Linked DNA regions of Astyanax mexicanus. The protein of the gene in region 1 interacts with the protein of each later gene in a pairwise test. Links are inferred from orthologs where the notes say so. Each region holds a gene or a part of one and is shown in the gene's direction. Other genes may lie near its edges.

What was found.
Region 2: the proteins of khdrbs2 (region 1) and ptk6a interact in binary tests that used the Homo sapiens proteins (3 or more experiments, as listed by UniProt). The two-hybrid records come from large-scale screens. The link is inferred for Astyanax mexicanus from reciprocal best matches to the Homo sapiens genes KHDRBS2 and PTK6.

Annotation. Positions count from the first base shown.
Region 1 is NC_064414.1:43,133,439-43,141,305, forward strand, and holds the start of khdrbs2 (KH domain-containing, RNA-binding, signal transduction-associated protein 2), read left to right. Parts: upstream 1-3,577; 5' UTR 3,578-3,823; coding exon 3,824-3,914; intron 3,915-7,867. UniProt on the Homo sapiens protein: RNA-binding protein that plays a role in the regulation of alternative splicing and influences mRNA splice site selection and exon inclusion. Binds both poly(A) and poly(U) homopolymers. Phosphorylation by PTK6 inhibits its RNA-binding ability.
Region 2 is NC_064419.1:39,950,921-39,956,762, reverse strand, and holds the start of ptk6a (protein-tyrosine kinase 6), read left to right. Parts: upstream 1-904; 5' UTR 905-921; coding exon 922-1,364; intron 1,365-2,443; coding exon 2,444-2,565; intron 2,566-3,725; coding exon 3,726-3,889; intron 3,890-4,459; coding exon 4,460-4,628; intron 4,629-5,842. UniProt on the Homo sapiens protein: Non-receptor tyrosine-protein kinase implicated in the regulation of a variety of signaling pathways that control the differentiation and maintenance of normal epithelia, as well as tumor growth.

The DNA of each region.
Region 1 (7,867 bases):
AACCTGACCAGGCTAAACCAGCAAGACCAACATGATCAGCAACACTATGCTAGTCAAGAGCTGGTTAACCATCTTGCTTTACAGGATAGAGGGTATGTTTTAATTTTTTAAAGCTTGTGGAAATGAGGCTTAGCTGAAATAAATGTGTTGTGTATAGTTTTTAAATCTCCTCTGCTTAAAAAAACATCAACATAGAATTACAACTAATTAATTGGGTTCGCATCTACTTTTTTCAACTGACTGTTTCAGCTAGCCACTCTGTCAGTCACAATTAACCTTGCCTTTAGGCTATGTTACCCTGTTGTGCTGAATTTTCCACAAATAGATTGTGCCGGGAACAAAATCTAATTTTAATTTGTGGAAGAGATATGTAGATTTTGTTAGGATAAACCATTTTTAAATATCCAGAATGTGGCGTTTAGCTGTGTCCTGCTTTCCCTTAAATCAGAAGCCAGTCAACAGACTATGTGCAGGGGCAATTCTGCACTGGACTGCGGTAGATCAATTGGATATCATTTTATAAACCACTGTTACTTTGAAAACATCTGATAAATACTGATGGTTACTGGTGCGTGCAGTGTCCCCGCATGAGTGAAAGACCAATTTTTGGTACATGGCGTCTAATCACCGCGTTCCAGTGGACCGAGGCTCTATGAACATTCTCACAAGGCAGTCGCTGAATGTGACACTGGGTGTACAGATGTTTGCCAACAGCACAGTAATCCATTCAGTCATTAATTAGGCAAGCAGGCCTTCTTCTTCTTCCTCCTCCTCCTCCTTCTGTCTTTCCCCACTTCCCTGCCCCTCTCTCTCTCTCTTTTGGTGCATGTGTTTAAGTGTATGTGTGTGAATGTGTGTGCTTGTGTTTGTTTGTGCATGTTTTCCCTCTATAGACTGCCTGTCACAAATGCCTAATCCATCTTGGCAAACCGAGGCATACAGAAACGCCATTGATTAGTATTCACGGACACGACAAATTGAGCTGACTTTGTGCCCTGCCATAAATATGGAACAAGTGTCTTCCTTAAGACAGATTTCACCTTGCTTCATTTGTTAGCTTACCTTTCCCACACAAGCGCCATTAGTCTTAAACCACTTTACAACTCGCACATTTTTGGTACCACAAACAAGAATAAACAGCTCCAGAAATGAAGCACAATGCCATAATTCATCTTGTATTTATGTATCTAGGTTATGTATGTAGGTACATGTATGATTATTTCTTTATGCTCAGCCCAAGGCAATTCAGCACAAGTCCAACATGATGGTCCAGTAAGGAGAATTTCTGTTAGGGATCTAAGGACTTGACATTGACATTGGAGGCCGTGAGTGACCACTCTTCAAAATCTGTAAAGGTAAACCAATGATTTAGTATTCAACTACAGGTTTTAACCATCTCCTTATTTTAAAAGAATTTTTTTAATGTTTAGTGCCTGAAGCACTTCTGAAAAATCCAGTTCAATATCAGCTTTTGCTGTTAGCTAGTTTTGGAAGGTCTAAAGCAATTTTTTTGTATTTGATGGCTAAGGTGGTTGGAAGCTGTTCATCCAGCTAGACAAAAACATGCTGTTAGTCTAGCTGGTTCACCAGCTTTTGACCAGCATGGTGAATTTGGCATGCTGCATTGATTTTGCTTGTGTGTGATGCTGGTTGACAAAATTGGTCATAATGGTCATGCTGGTCAACCAGCGCAGCCATATTAGTCAACCAGCATGGCCATGTTAATCAACCAGCTTGATCTAGCTGGTCAACCAGCACACTCAAGTTTGGTCATACTGGTTGCCTTGCTTGATCACTGATTATGCTTGAACATCAGCTAAAACATCAAACTACAACCCTATGCTGGTCAAGGCCATTTTTTTCTAACAATTGGTTCTGCATAGTCTAAGCTGCTCTTTGATGGTCAAGATGCTCATCCAGTTGAAAACATACCCTGTACCGGTATTATAAAGTGTTACCAACTATCTGGTTAATTGGCTATTGAGTAGCATAGTGTATGTTGCTTTTGATTTAGGCCAGTGTAGTCATCCAGCTGGGTCTTGTTGATCATGCTGATTGATCAGCTTGTATAGTTAATTTTGTTTGTAGACCAGCTAAACAAATAAACTCACACCCTATGCTGGTCAAGATCAGTTTTTGCTGGCAGCTGGATTTGGATTGTCTGAGCTAGGCTTCAATTTCTTAAGATGTTTGAAAAGCTGGTCATTCAAGTGAAAGCATACCTTGCACTACGCTTGACCAACTTACTAGTGTTGCATTTGATTTTGGTTATTTTGGACATTGCTGATCGACCAGAGTGGTCATGCTGTTTGTCTATCCTGTCTGTATCCGTCTTAACCATCTTAAATGAATGAATAAAGTTACGCTTATATATCGCCTTTCTAGACACCCAAGGACGCTTTACAATCATGTTCCACATGCAATCATTTTACACTTAGCACTCAAACACACACAAGCACTTATCCACACACATCCCTAGATGAGTTATAGCATCAACAGCAAACGTAAGTTCCAGCAATAAATCGACCAGTGTAAACATCTTTCTCATCAATACAATATCTTTTTACTAAGGAAAATGACCAAAAATAATACACAGTGACGTGAATGAGTAACTTTAATTGGAAATAGTTACGTGTTGGATTACTTGTTACTGAAAAAAAAATGGTTTAAGAGATACAGACATCACTGATACTTTTTTAAAATCCAATTTTCTTCCCAATGTACAAGGCCAATTACCCAACCCACTCATTAGGACTCCCCCATTTCACTGGTAATGAAGACTAGCACATGCCTCCACCGATACATGTGAAGTCAGGCTCCACCTGTTTTTAAACTGCTGCTGATGCAGCATTGTTGAGTAGCATCACAGCAAGCTTGGTTCTAATACATCAACTCACAGACGCCTTGTGCTAAGCGACATCACCCTTTGGAGTGATGTGGGGAGAGAGCGCCATCTACCCACACAGAGAGAGCAAGACCAATTGTGATTTCTCGGGGCTCTGGCAGCTGATGGCGAGCTACATAAACGGGATTCTAACCAGCGATCTCCTGAACGCTGTGGCAGCGCCTAAAGCCCAAATTATACTTCTGCATCAATCCTACGCCTTAGCCTACGCATCGCTGCGTACCCTACGCCGTAGCTTTACACGCACATATTCCCACCTTCGCGGTTTAAACTGCAGAGCGATGCAGAGCTGTTGATACGCACACACAGAAGTATAAATGTGTCCCCTGGATATGCGCAGGCTACAGCATAGGTTCGACGCAGAAGTATAAATTGGGCTTTAGTCCGCTGAACCACTCTGAGCCCCATGACATCACAGTCTAACTTGTGTAAAAAAGAGATATAATATGTCCCCTTTAAGACAACAAATCTTACATTACGGTAGTATTAGTATTTATCCACAGAATACCGTGATTAACCGCAGTATACCTTATTATATCGTTACATACCGTTAGCGTTGATGCTGTTTGACGCTTTCCAGAATTCGCTTCTCCGACCCAGCCAATCAGCAGTGAGGGGGGCGGGGCCAGCGCGCTTATTCCGTGGCTATAGGCGGGGAGCTTTCGCACGAGAGCCCTGCGTTTAAACCGAGCGCGAGGAGGATATGAGTGTTTATTTTTTGGTTTGAATAACGCTGCCGTTATTAAAACAGCCGTTAGCTAACGGAGGAAAGCAGCCGGTGTTGTACCGATATCCGCTCCGTCAGTTCTCCTCAGGGTTCAGGCGAAGTCAGACCACAGTCCCGTCCGCCTCTCCGCACTTTCTTCCCCTGTGTCTCACCTGCTCTCGCCGCGGTCAGGAGAGGAGCGGTGGCCGGTTATGGATCAGGACAAGTACTTGCCGGAGCTGATGGCCGAGAAGGAAACGCTGGACACGACCTTTGTTCACGCTATGCGCCTTCTGGCTGAAGGTAACAGGATTATTTTACCCTCTTTATCCGGTTATTTATCCCTTTTCTGTCCGGTATTTGTGTACAGTGTCCCCGGGTAAGTCTCTATAATCACCATATGTGTGTATTATTTGTGTATGAAATGCTGGTGGTGTTTATAAACGTTTGTTTGTTTGTTTGTTCATGGTCCTGCGGTTGGGAGCCCTGGGTGAGGAATGGAGGGAAGGATAGAGAAATGGATGGAGGGATGGAATGAGAGAGGAATAGAGGGATGGAGGGAGATGTAGAGGCGTGCCTGAGTGCAGCAGCTTTTCCCCGCCATGCTGTTAGGGGGTCAACAAGCTCCTCCTCAGGTGTGTTGGGTTTGGAGCTCTGAAGTAGATTAGGGGACTCACAGGTCTGAACAGAAGCAGACAGGGCTCTGACTCGTTAACTGCTCTGTGTGTGTGTGTGTGTGTGTGTGTGTGGTTTCATCATTACTTGGCTAAACTTCAGGTGTTCAGGTGTGTTCATGCAAAAAAAAAAAAGTGATAACTAACTAACTACATGACTACCTAAAAGGAAGTAAAACATATGCATATGTATATAACTTACAGCTCTGGAAAAATTTAAGAGACCACTTTAGTTTCTGAATCAGTTTATCTGATTTTGCTATTTATAGGTATATGTTTGTGTAAAATCAACATTGTTCTTTTACTCTATAGACTATGAACATTGTTTGTCCCAAATTCGAAATAAAATATTGTCATTTGGAGCATTTATTCATTTGCTGAAAAATAACAAAATCACTGTTTTCATGCATCTTGACATGTTCTCCTCCACCAGCCTTACACGCTGCTTTTGGATAACTTTATGCCACTCCTGGTGCAAAAAATCACGCAGGGGCTTGGTTTGATGGCTGTGATCATCCATCCTCTTGATTATATTTCAGAGGTTTTCAATTTGATAAAATCAAAGAAAGATATGTTTTGTGAGGGTTTGAGGTTAAGAGGTTGAGTTGCGTGATATTGGAAGAAATAAAATGACATTGCAGTAGATGTTTCTATATGTGTTATTGATATGATTAAAGGAAAACATTGTTTTTTGTTAATGTTTTACAAACAGAAAAGTCAGGAATCCGATATGGTCAGTAATAACCTTTTTAAGTTCATTTTTCTGACAGTTTGTGGCTAAATTCAAAAACAGGAAAGTTAGTGTAAAACATTATATTTAACTTTCCCCTTTCCAAAATCACTGAAATACTGAAAGTGAGGGGTAAATTAAATTAAATTAATGAAATTATATTGGACAGATAAATATGTGTATTTTTTGTAAATCTCAGTATATATATCTTAGAGAAACTGCAATGACTGTTTTTTTTAATTATGCAGCCCTACCCAAGATGGTTCTTAGGGAGATGCAAGTAAAGAACCATTTTTTGTCTTTCATGGTTCTTTATACACATCTCTTATAAAAACAGCTCTTAATGAAACCAAAAATAGTTTTGTTCTATACCATCGCTCAAATAACCCTTTGTATCACCTTCATCTTTAGTTTTAGGCTCAAATTAAAAGTAACACTGTCATTACCATGTAACATTATCACTCACTGAAGTGTGATCAGATGTAGACTGCTCTCAGACCAGTTCCATAAGCAGAGTCTGATCCTGTGGCTTCAGTAGCTCCTGTGTGTTGGATTATGCTTGTGTGTGTGTGTGTGTTTTAATGCTTCTGTGTTTCAGAGCCTGGGGTGAGGGATGGATTGAGGGATGGAGGGATAGAGGGATGGAATGAGGGATGGGGGTATGGAGGGAGATGTAGCGTGCCTGAGTGCAGCAGCTTTACCCTTTCATGCTGTTAGGGGGTCAACAAGCTCCTCCTCAGGTATGTTGGGCTTGGAGCTCTGAAGTAGATTAGGTCTATACAGACACAGATGCAAAGGTCTCAAACTTACTGGTGTCTGTGTGTGTTTTTAACTAAATAAGAAAACAAAGTAAATGATGGATAAAGAAATGCTCGCATTTTAATGACACCTCAGAAGACGTTTTAAGAGGGTGTGGGGCTTTCTGACTTAAAAACTCCATTTGTTTGGACAATAGAGGGAATATCAAATTCAACTCGACCAAACCAACAGTAAAATGATCCTACTGGCTATCTTTGTGTTCGGAAAGTATTAGTGTAAATATGAGAAACTCATTAGTGCAGGAAAAAATGACAGCGTATGGAAGATTTATATGCAATATACACTCTTAAAATAAAGGTGCTTTATGTAGTTCTTTGAGAAATTCCACTTTTTTATGTCTGAAGATATGAACTCATAAGTTTTGCTCACTTTAGTAATGTCCATTGTTCGGTTTGATTTACTGGGTTTTTGCCATCAGCATCCGGAGTCTAACAGAGCCCAATGGGCCTTGCTCTCTCTGGGTAAGTAGATGGCGCTCTCTCCCCTCATCACTCCAAACAGACCTATTAATGCAAATACAAAAGAGGTGTGTCTGGGTTCACATGTGTTGGAGGAGGCATTTCCTAGCCTTCTTCGTGCTACCATTGTTGATGGTATTCTATTACTACTAACAGGGGGAGCCTTAATGAGTGGGTGGGTAATTGGTCTTCCAAATTGGGGAGAAATCAGATAAAATTAGAAATACATATAGAAAAAAATTTAGCTGTATAATTATGTTACTGTAAAATATGCTTGTTTTCAATTTTTTTTCATAAACAGCCCAGTCTTTAAAGAACCTTTACAACCTCATTTTTTAAAATCTGTTAAAATGCTTCTTTATGGCACCAAATATTTTTTTATGGCAATCCTCCAAGAAAGTAGTACTTTGTAGTACCTTTACTTTCAGTGTAAGGTCAATGTAAATCATTATAACTTTGCTAGTATGAGTAATATGAGTAATTAACATGTGATATAAACATCTCTTGAAAAACTAGATCACTTAAAATATTATTTAGTATTTTGCCCTTTTTAGTAACACAGATGCCGTGCAGTATTAATAACTAACTGCATTGATCCATTCCTGCCACACTCCAAAGCTGTACATATGGATGGTTAAACTGCCTGGACTTTAATATTAACACTGAGCATGTGCCAAGCACTTACTCACATCTATAATTCATAACATGTTTCTACATTAGCTATAGCTCTCCATTATCACAGTTGTTTTTGTTCTGTTATTTGTTTGTGCTATCTTGGTCAACCTGAGGAGGATGGATTCCTCTTACTGAGTCTTGGTTTCTCCTAAGGTTCTTCTTAGTGTAAGGGAGTTTTTCCTCGCCACTGTTGCCACCCCACTTTCGTCACTGGTGGCACTATCACTATGGTGCTTACTAATAAGAGGCGTGGACCTGTTTCTCTGTAAAGCTGATTTGTGGCAACATTTGTTGTAAAAAGCGGTATATAAATAAAACTGAATTGAAGTATTGTAGAGAATTGTCTTGCCTTATATGAAGTATTGCTAAATCACAGTATCGTGATATCTTATTGGGATATGCCCTTTGATTCCCACCCCTAGTCAATTCTCTTCTCAAAAATCTTATGCTAACATTTGATCATCTCTTATTGTAGAAACATCGCTTTTTGATAGAGCTGAAATTGGAGGGAATGTGACATTATCATTAAGTCACTGAAGCGTGATCAGATGTAGACTGCTCTCAGACCAGCTCCATAAGTAGAGTCTGAGCCTGTGGGTTCGGTATCCTCTGTGTGTTAGTGTATGCTTGGATTGCTTCATCAGGCTAAAAGGGAAATCTCAGAGAGCCCGTCTCATCCCCGGGACGACGTACAACCTCAGTGACACGACAGCTGGAGGTTTCTGCTCCTCCGTTTCAGACAGGGATGATGAATGAGTTTACTAGTGTGATGCAGCTGAAGTTAAGAGAGGCTAACGCTTTGAGCAGGCTGCTAAATTGCCCTTGTTTTACTGATTCAGTGAGTTGGTTCATGAAATATTGTTCAGTTTTTACTCCTGTTTTTAAGAGCCCACCATTAGG
Region 2 (5,842 bases), on another chromosome or scaffold:
TTTAATACACCTATAATAACCACAACTCCTCCTATATATATATATATATATATATATATATATATATATATATATAATATATATATGTAATTAAATGCACTGGGCGCTGGCTGCTACACCAGGAGGCAGGCTATGCAGAGTCTATGTATATACATGTCTGTCATTATCAGTACAGTGATAGTGGCACACAAAGCTGAAAGTTAGCATTATGGGATGTAAACAGTGGTTTTTAATAAGCTTCTTTTGAACTTTTTAAGTTATTAATGCCTCTTTTTAAATGTCAGGGCTCTCTGGATTCTACCTAAAAGTTGAGGAGCTACTTTGAGCCTGGATAAAGATGTAAAAAGCAATTTATCAAGGCAAAATATACCCTGATACGGTCGTTGTAAAGAGTGCTGGGCTATTCAACAAAGGTAAGGTCTTTTTATCATGTTTTTACTAGACCAAAAGTCCATTTTACACCTGAGTTCTCTTTTTTACGGTCTGGACTCTGTGGTGAACAATCCATGTGTGAAGATGATGATCTCATTCTACCTGAACCACTCTTTCACAATTCTGCCTGTTTAGATTGACAGCCTTTCTTTTAAGTTTGTTAAAAGTATATATATATATATATATATATATATATATATATCAATGTTTTGTAGATGTTTTTTATAAATGTAGGCATTTCAATGATTTACCTACATAATTCATTTTCTTGAAAGTTATGAAAACCTCAAACCACAACAATTCTGGTAATGATCCAATAGCAACTGTTTTATGGAAAGTTTTTTTTTTTCTTTTTTAAGCTCCTCCCATAAATACACCTGCCCAACCTGAGACATCCGCCCCAACACTCACACACACCTTACTCACTCACTCACACACACTCTGAGGAGATGTAGACACACACTTCTCAGTCTCTTCACCTCCACCCAGATGAAGGGTCCTGAGGGGGAGGCTCGCTGCCCCTGCCCGAGTCTCCAGAGCCTCCAGACTCTGCTCTCCAGCCTCTTCACACAGGCAGAGAAGAAGAAGGAGGAGGAGGAGGAGGAGGGAGAGGCAGCAGAGCAGAGAGATGGAGACTCCAACTTCGAGAACCCAGAGATCGGCACCTACAACTACACCCAGCCGCCGACACAGCCGCCCACAGCCCAGCCAGCGGACCCGCCAGCTGCCCGGGCTCTGTATAAGGCGCTGTGGAGTTTCCAGGGCCGCGCCGTGGACGAGCTCTCCTTCCAGACTGGAGACTCGTTTAGGATGCTGCAGCAGGAGGGAGAGTGGTGTCGGGTGGAGAAGATCAGCCCGCAGGGACTCATACAGGCTGAGGGCTTCGTGCCCTCCAACTACCTGGCAAAAGAGCAGACCCTGGAGGAACAACCGTGAGTGTTTTCACATACAGTCCCTCCTAAAGTACAGGAACTGCAAAAAAAAAAATCCTTTATTTTTGTTGTGCACTGAACACACTTAGAAAAAAAGTACAGATTTGTACTTAAAAGAGTACAAAACTGGGGCTGTACCTTTATTGAATTATATTTAAGTATTTTTTGTACCCATGTTTTTTGTAAGAGAGATTATAAACATCATCAATATGTATTGTTTTTAGTATAGAGATACTGAACACAGGATGTACATTTTGGCTGGTAAAATGGTACAAATCTGTACTTCCTGCTGTTAAACACTAAGAAAAGTAAGTACAGATTTGTACTTAAAGAGTATATAGCTTGTCTCTTGGGCTGTACCTTATATTGAGGTATAATAGAGTAGTTTTCAGTAAAATTATTTTTTTTATACCCATGTTTTTTTGTACCAGTAAAGATTATAAACATCATCATCACCTGAATATGTGTCAAGAACTTGATGATCCAAAATTGTCTGGATTTCAAATGAAACATGTATAATCACAATATATGTTGTTTATTAGTACAGTGATACGGAATGCAGAATGTACATTTTGACTGGTTAAATGGTACAAATCTGTATTACCTGCTGTAAGGAAATACTTTGTACTTCTGAAGGAACACATCAGACACTGTAAAGATTGGAATATTATTATACAGAATATTATACCTTTGAGGGTACAATTACGAAAAGTGTACATTAAGTACAGAAAAGTACTTGTATCGTACCTCTGTTTAGATGGGTTTTGTTGGGTTGTGATGTCATTCCTATATCTAATGTTTGAGGTAAATGAAGCACAGCATGAGGCTCTTCTGACTTGTGAGAAATGTGGCTTGTAGGGGCATTCCAGTTAAAATGTCCTATTTGGAACTCAGAAATCCTAACATCCAGGTTCAGATGGGACACAGAATAATACTTACAATATCTAAGATCTGTTCAGGTCCCTAGTGTGATCCAGAAGGATTTAACATCTGCACTCCCTTTTAACTACGGTAATTCACTAGTCAAAGAAAATTAAATTACCTGGTGAGGAAGAATGTCATCTCCTGTTTTTTTTCAGATGGTATTTTGGGTCACTGAATCGCCTGGAGACCCAGAAACTGCTTTTGGCCGCAGGTAACAAGGTCGGTGCATTTCTGCTGCGACGCAGTGAAAGGGATGAGGTGGGCTGTGTGCTGTCAGGTAAGTGAATTGTTCAGAAGTACAGTGCAGTACATTGTGACTTGTCTATGTGAAGTGAAAGAAGGTCATTGTATATTTCTCATTTAGAGGTGTTATAAAATTACAATCCCCCCTTTTCCAGTTCCCAGTCTAAAATTGTGTAAATACAATCTCTATCTTGTTCCCATGACAGGTAGGGATCCACTAAAATTAAAATTTTCTGAAACAGAATTTTTCTTTTTTTCAGAATTTATTTTTCCACTTTTTTCACCATTGCGTAGTTAAATAGGGTGTAAAAAATATGTGTAAGGTGTAAAAATAAAAATATTATATTGACTAATAAAAAAAAAGGACAGTTTGATCACTAATCACTAGTGTTTGAACACTAATAAATGTTGACTCCTTTTCTCCTTTCTCTTTCCAAACCACCATATTGCGGATGGCATAGTTTAAACTAGCAAACTGGTATAATACAAAATAGACTCCCTCTGCACTAGGGCTGTATACAATATGTAGAACAGTACAGGGCTTAAAATTCAATATATTGTGATTAATTGTGACACTGTAGGTGATGTATCGTGATTATTTTAATATAAAAAAAAATAACTGTGAGTTCCACACTGCTATCTAGTGGGCAGGGTTTAATTACAACACTAAATGAACGACTGTCTGACACCAATGTTTACATGTAAATAATTGTAAAAAATATATAGATACTGGGGATACACCGATGTGGGAATTCTAAGCCTTTATATATCTGTTGACGTTGATGCCGATATGCATATTTATAACAGAGAAGAAGCTAGATACCCTGGTAACTTTGAAACTAATAAAAATAAACAAAAATGAGCTTAAATCAATATATTTTAAAGTAACATGGCCAGTTGTAGTAGCACAGAAAGCATTGTTTGGTCCTTTTCCAGCATACAATAAATACATCAGCAAATATCAGTTTGAAATGTTGGCCATATCATCCGATTCCAATGGTTAAAAAAAAAGAAAAAGGGAATTATCGATCCATACTGATGTAATTCCCATATTATTATGCATCTCTAATCGATACTGTGTTTTTTTTAATGCAAATTCAGGATAATAGGATCTCTCATGTATAATAATCTAATCTAATATCCCACTTTCTCTCTCTCTCTCTCTCTCTCTCTCTCTCTCTCTCTGTCTGTTAGTTCGACTAAGCGATAAGGAGGTGAAGCACTTTAAAGTTTATGAGGATGAGGAGGGTTTCTATGTGGACCCTGATTCCACTTTCCCCGGACTGGAGCAGTTAGTGGAGCATTATAAAAGCCATCCTCTGAGCTCCGGCACCCTCCTCGGAGAGCCCTGCACACGGGTGAGTGTGTACTGTATGTGAGCTACGTGAGTTATGACCTCACTCATTGGCTCATGTGTTATGTGTGAGGTAACTGGAGTGAAAATGATTTAATAGGAGGGAGAAATCTGCTCGGACTGCTGCTGCTGAGCCCTGATGGAATTGTTTCCGGAAATACTTGTTGCTGTTGTTCTGAATGCCACTCGCCCCCCGCTCATATTATTTACAGGAGCTTATTTACAGCTGTGATATGGTCAGGGGTGTGGATTTAAAATATCCGTACTAATTGATTATTACTGTGGATACATCCGATCACCCATAACATTATAACTACTGATGTTAATTGAATAATATTGTGTTGGGATATACATATATTGTAAAACATGTGAGCTATCAGTTCTTGAAGTTGTGTGATGTAAAGCAGGAAATATGGGCATGCGTAAGAATCACCAGTGAGTAAGAATGACCATAAACAGCTCTATATAATTTCATGGTAGCACAACAGATAAGAGTAGTCTACAGCATCAGGCCTACACTTATGCCTAATAATGCTTAACACACATTTCCCCTGTTGTTTTTCTCCTCTTATAGCCAGAGCCGAAGCCACAGGACCTGTCCCACAATACTGTGGACGACTGGGAGCTGCCCAAGGAGGAGTTCGCCCTGGAGGAACAGCTGGGGTCTGGATTCTTCGCTGATGTTTACCGCGGCACCTGGAAAGGCATGGTCAAGGTGGCTGTTAAGATCCTCAAAAATAATGGTAAACAGTTTTTATTTTGATGTTGATGCTTTACTGCGCTGTCAAGAGAATCGAGAATAATGCGTAAATGTTACTGGCATTTTCCGCTCACATTTTTGTGATGGCGGACACGACTGAAGAATGTGAGAAATGCTGTTTTTCTGGTTGTAATCACTGAAAGAACTAAAAGAATGAGAAGACAGATAAGACAGATCGTTTTGGAAGTTTCTTCCTCATAGCTCAGGGTTCTTTGTTCATTTTTGTGGTTTAACATGTAATTGAAAACAAAGAGGAAACACAGACATGAAGGCTGTAAATCTTAATCAGGGTAGATTTGATTTAATAGGAAAAATATTCCAGGGGCCCCACTTTGGTTTCTGTCCCTAATTTGCCCCTGGAAATGAGTGTGTGAATGAATGAATGAATGAATGGGGGGGCTGGTGCTCTGTCCAGGGATTAATCTTGGTTATCTCACTGTCGATTAATCGTTAATTTGTAACAGTATTGCATTACACAAAGTAATGGAGACAGAAGTGCAATGGGAGCGAGGTAAATGTCTTACTCAAACAGGTCACACTCTCCAACAGTGTCTCCAACAGTGTCTCCAAAAGTGCCCAAACACAACACATTACATATTTACCCACTAAATGTCCGTACTTTCCACGTATAAACAGCATCTAGGCATTTAAATGCATCTTAATGTATCATGATCAGCTGTTTCTATAATTTTTAGAGATGAAGGACATGGCAGAAATAATCATTGACTAATCGACCAATTGAAAAAGTCTAACTATATAAATACAATGTGCTCCTATATGGTCAGTGGAACTGATAAAATTAACAATGAAATGGAGAACTCTGGTGTAAAATTGACTTTTGATATAGTAAAACATGATAAAAAGTACTTACCTTTGTTGAATAGCCTACCTCTGCTCTCCTACAGCTTTCTGAGATCCAGTAATTTTGTGCTTTTTGCCCAGCACTCTTTACAACAGCCGTATCAGGGCATATTTTGCCCCGATAAATCGTTTTTTACACTGTTATCCAGGCTCAAAGTAGCTCCACACCTCCTTGGTAGAATCTGGAGAGCGCTGACATTACATCCCATAGTGCTTCTTTGTAGCTCCGGGTGCCGCCATCACTGTACTGATAATGACAGACATATATACATAGCTTCCACATAGCCTGCCTCCCAGTGCCCAGTGCATCTATTTACACTGAGGAAGGTGTTTAAT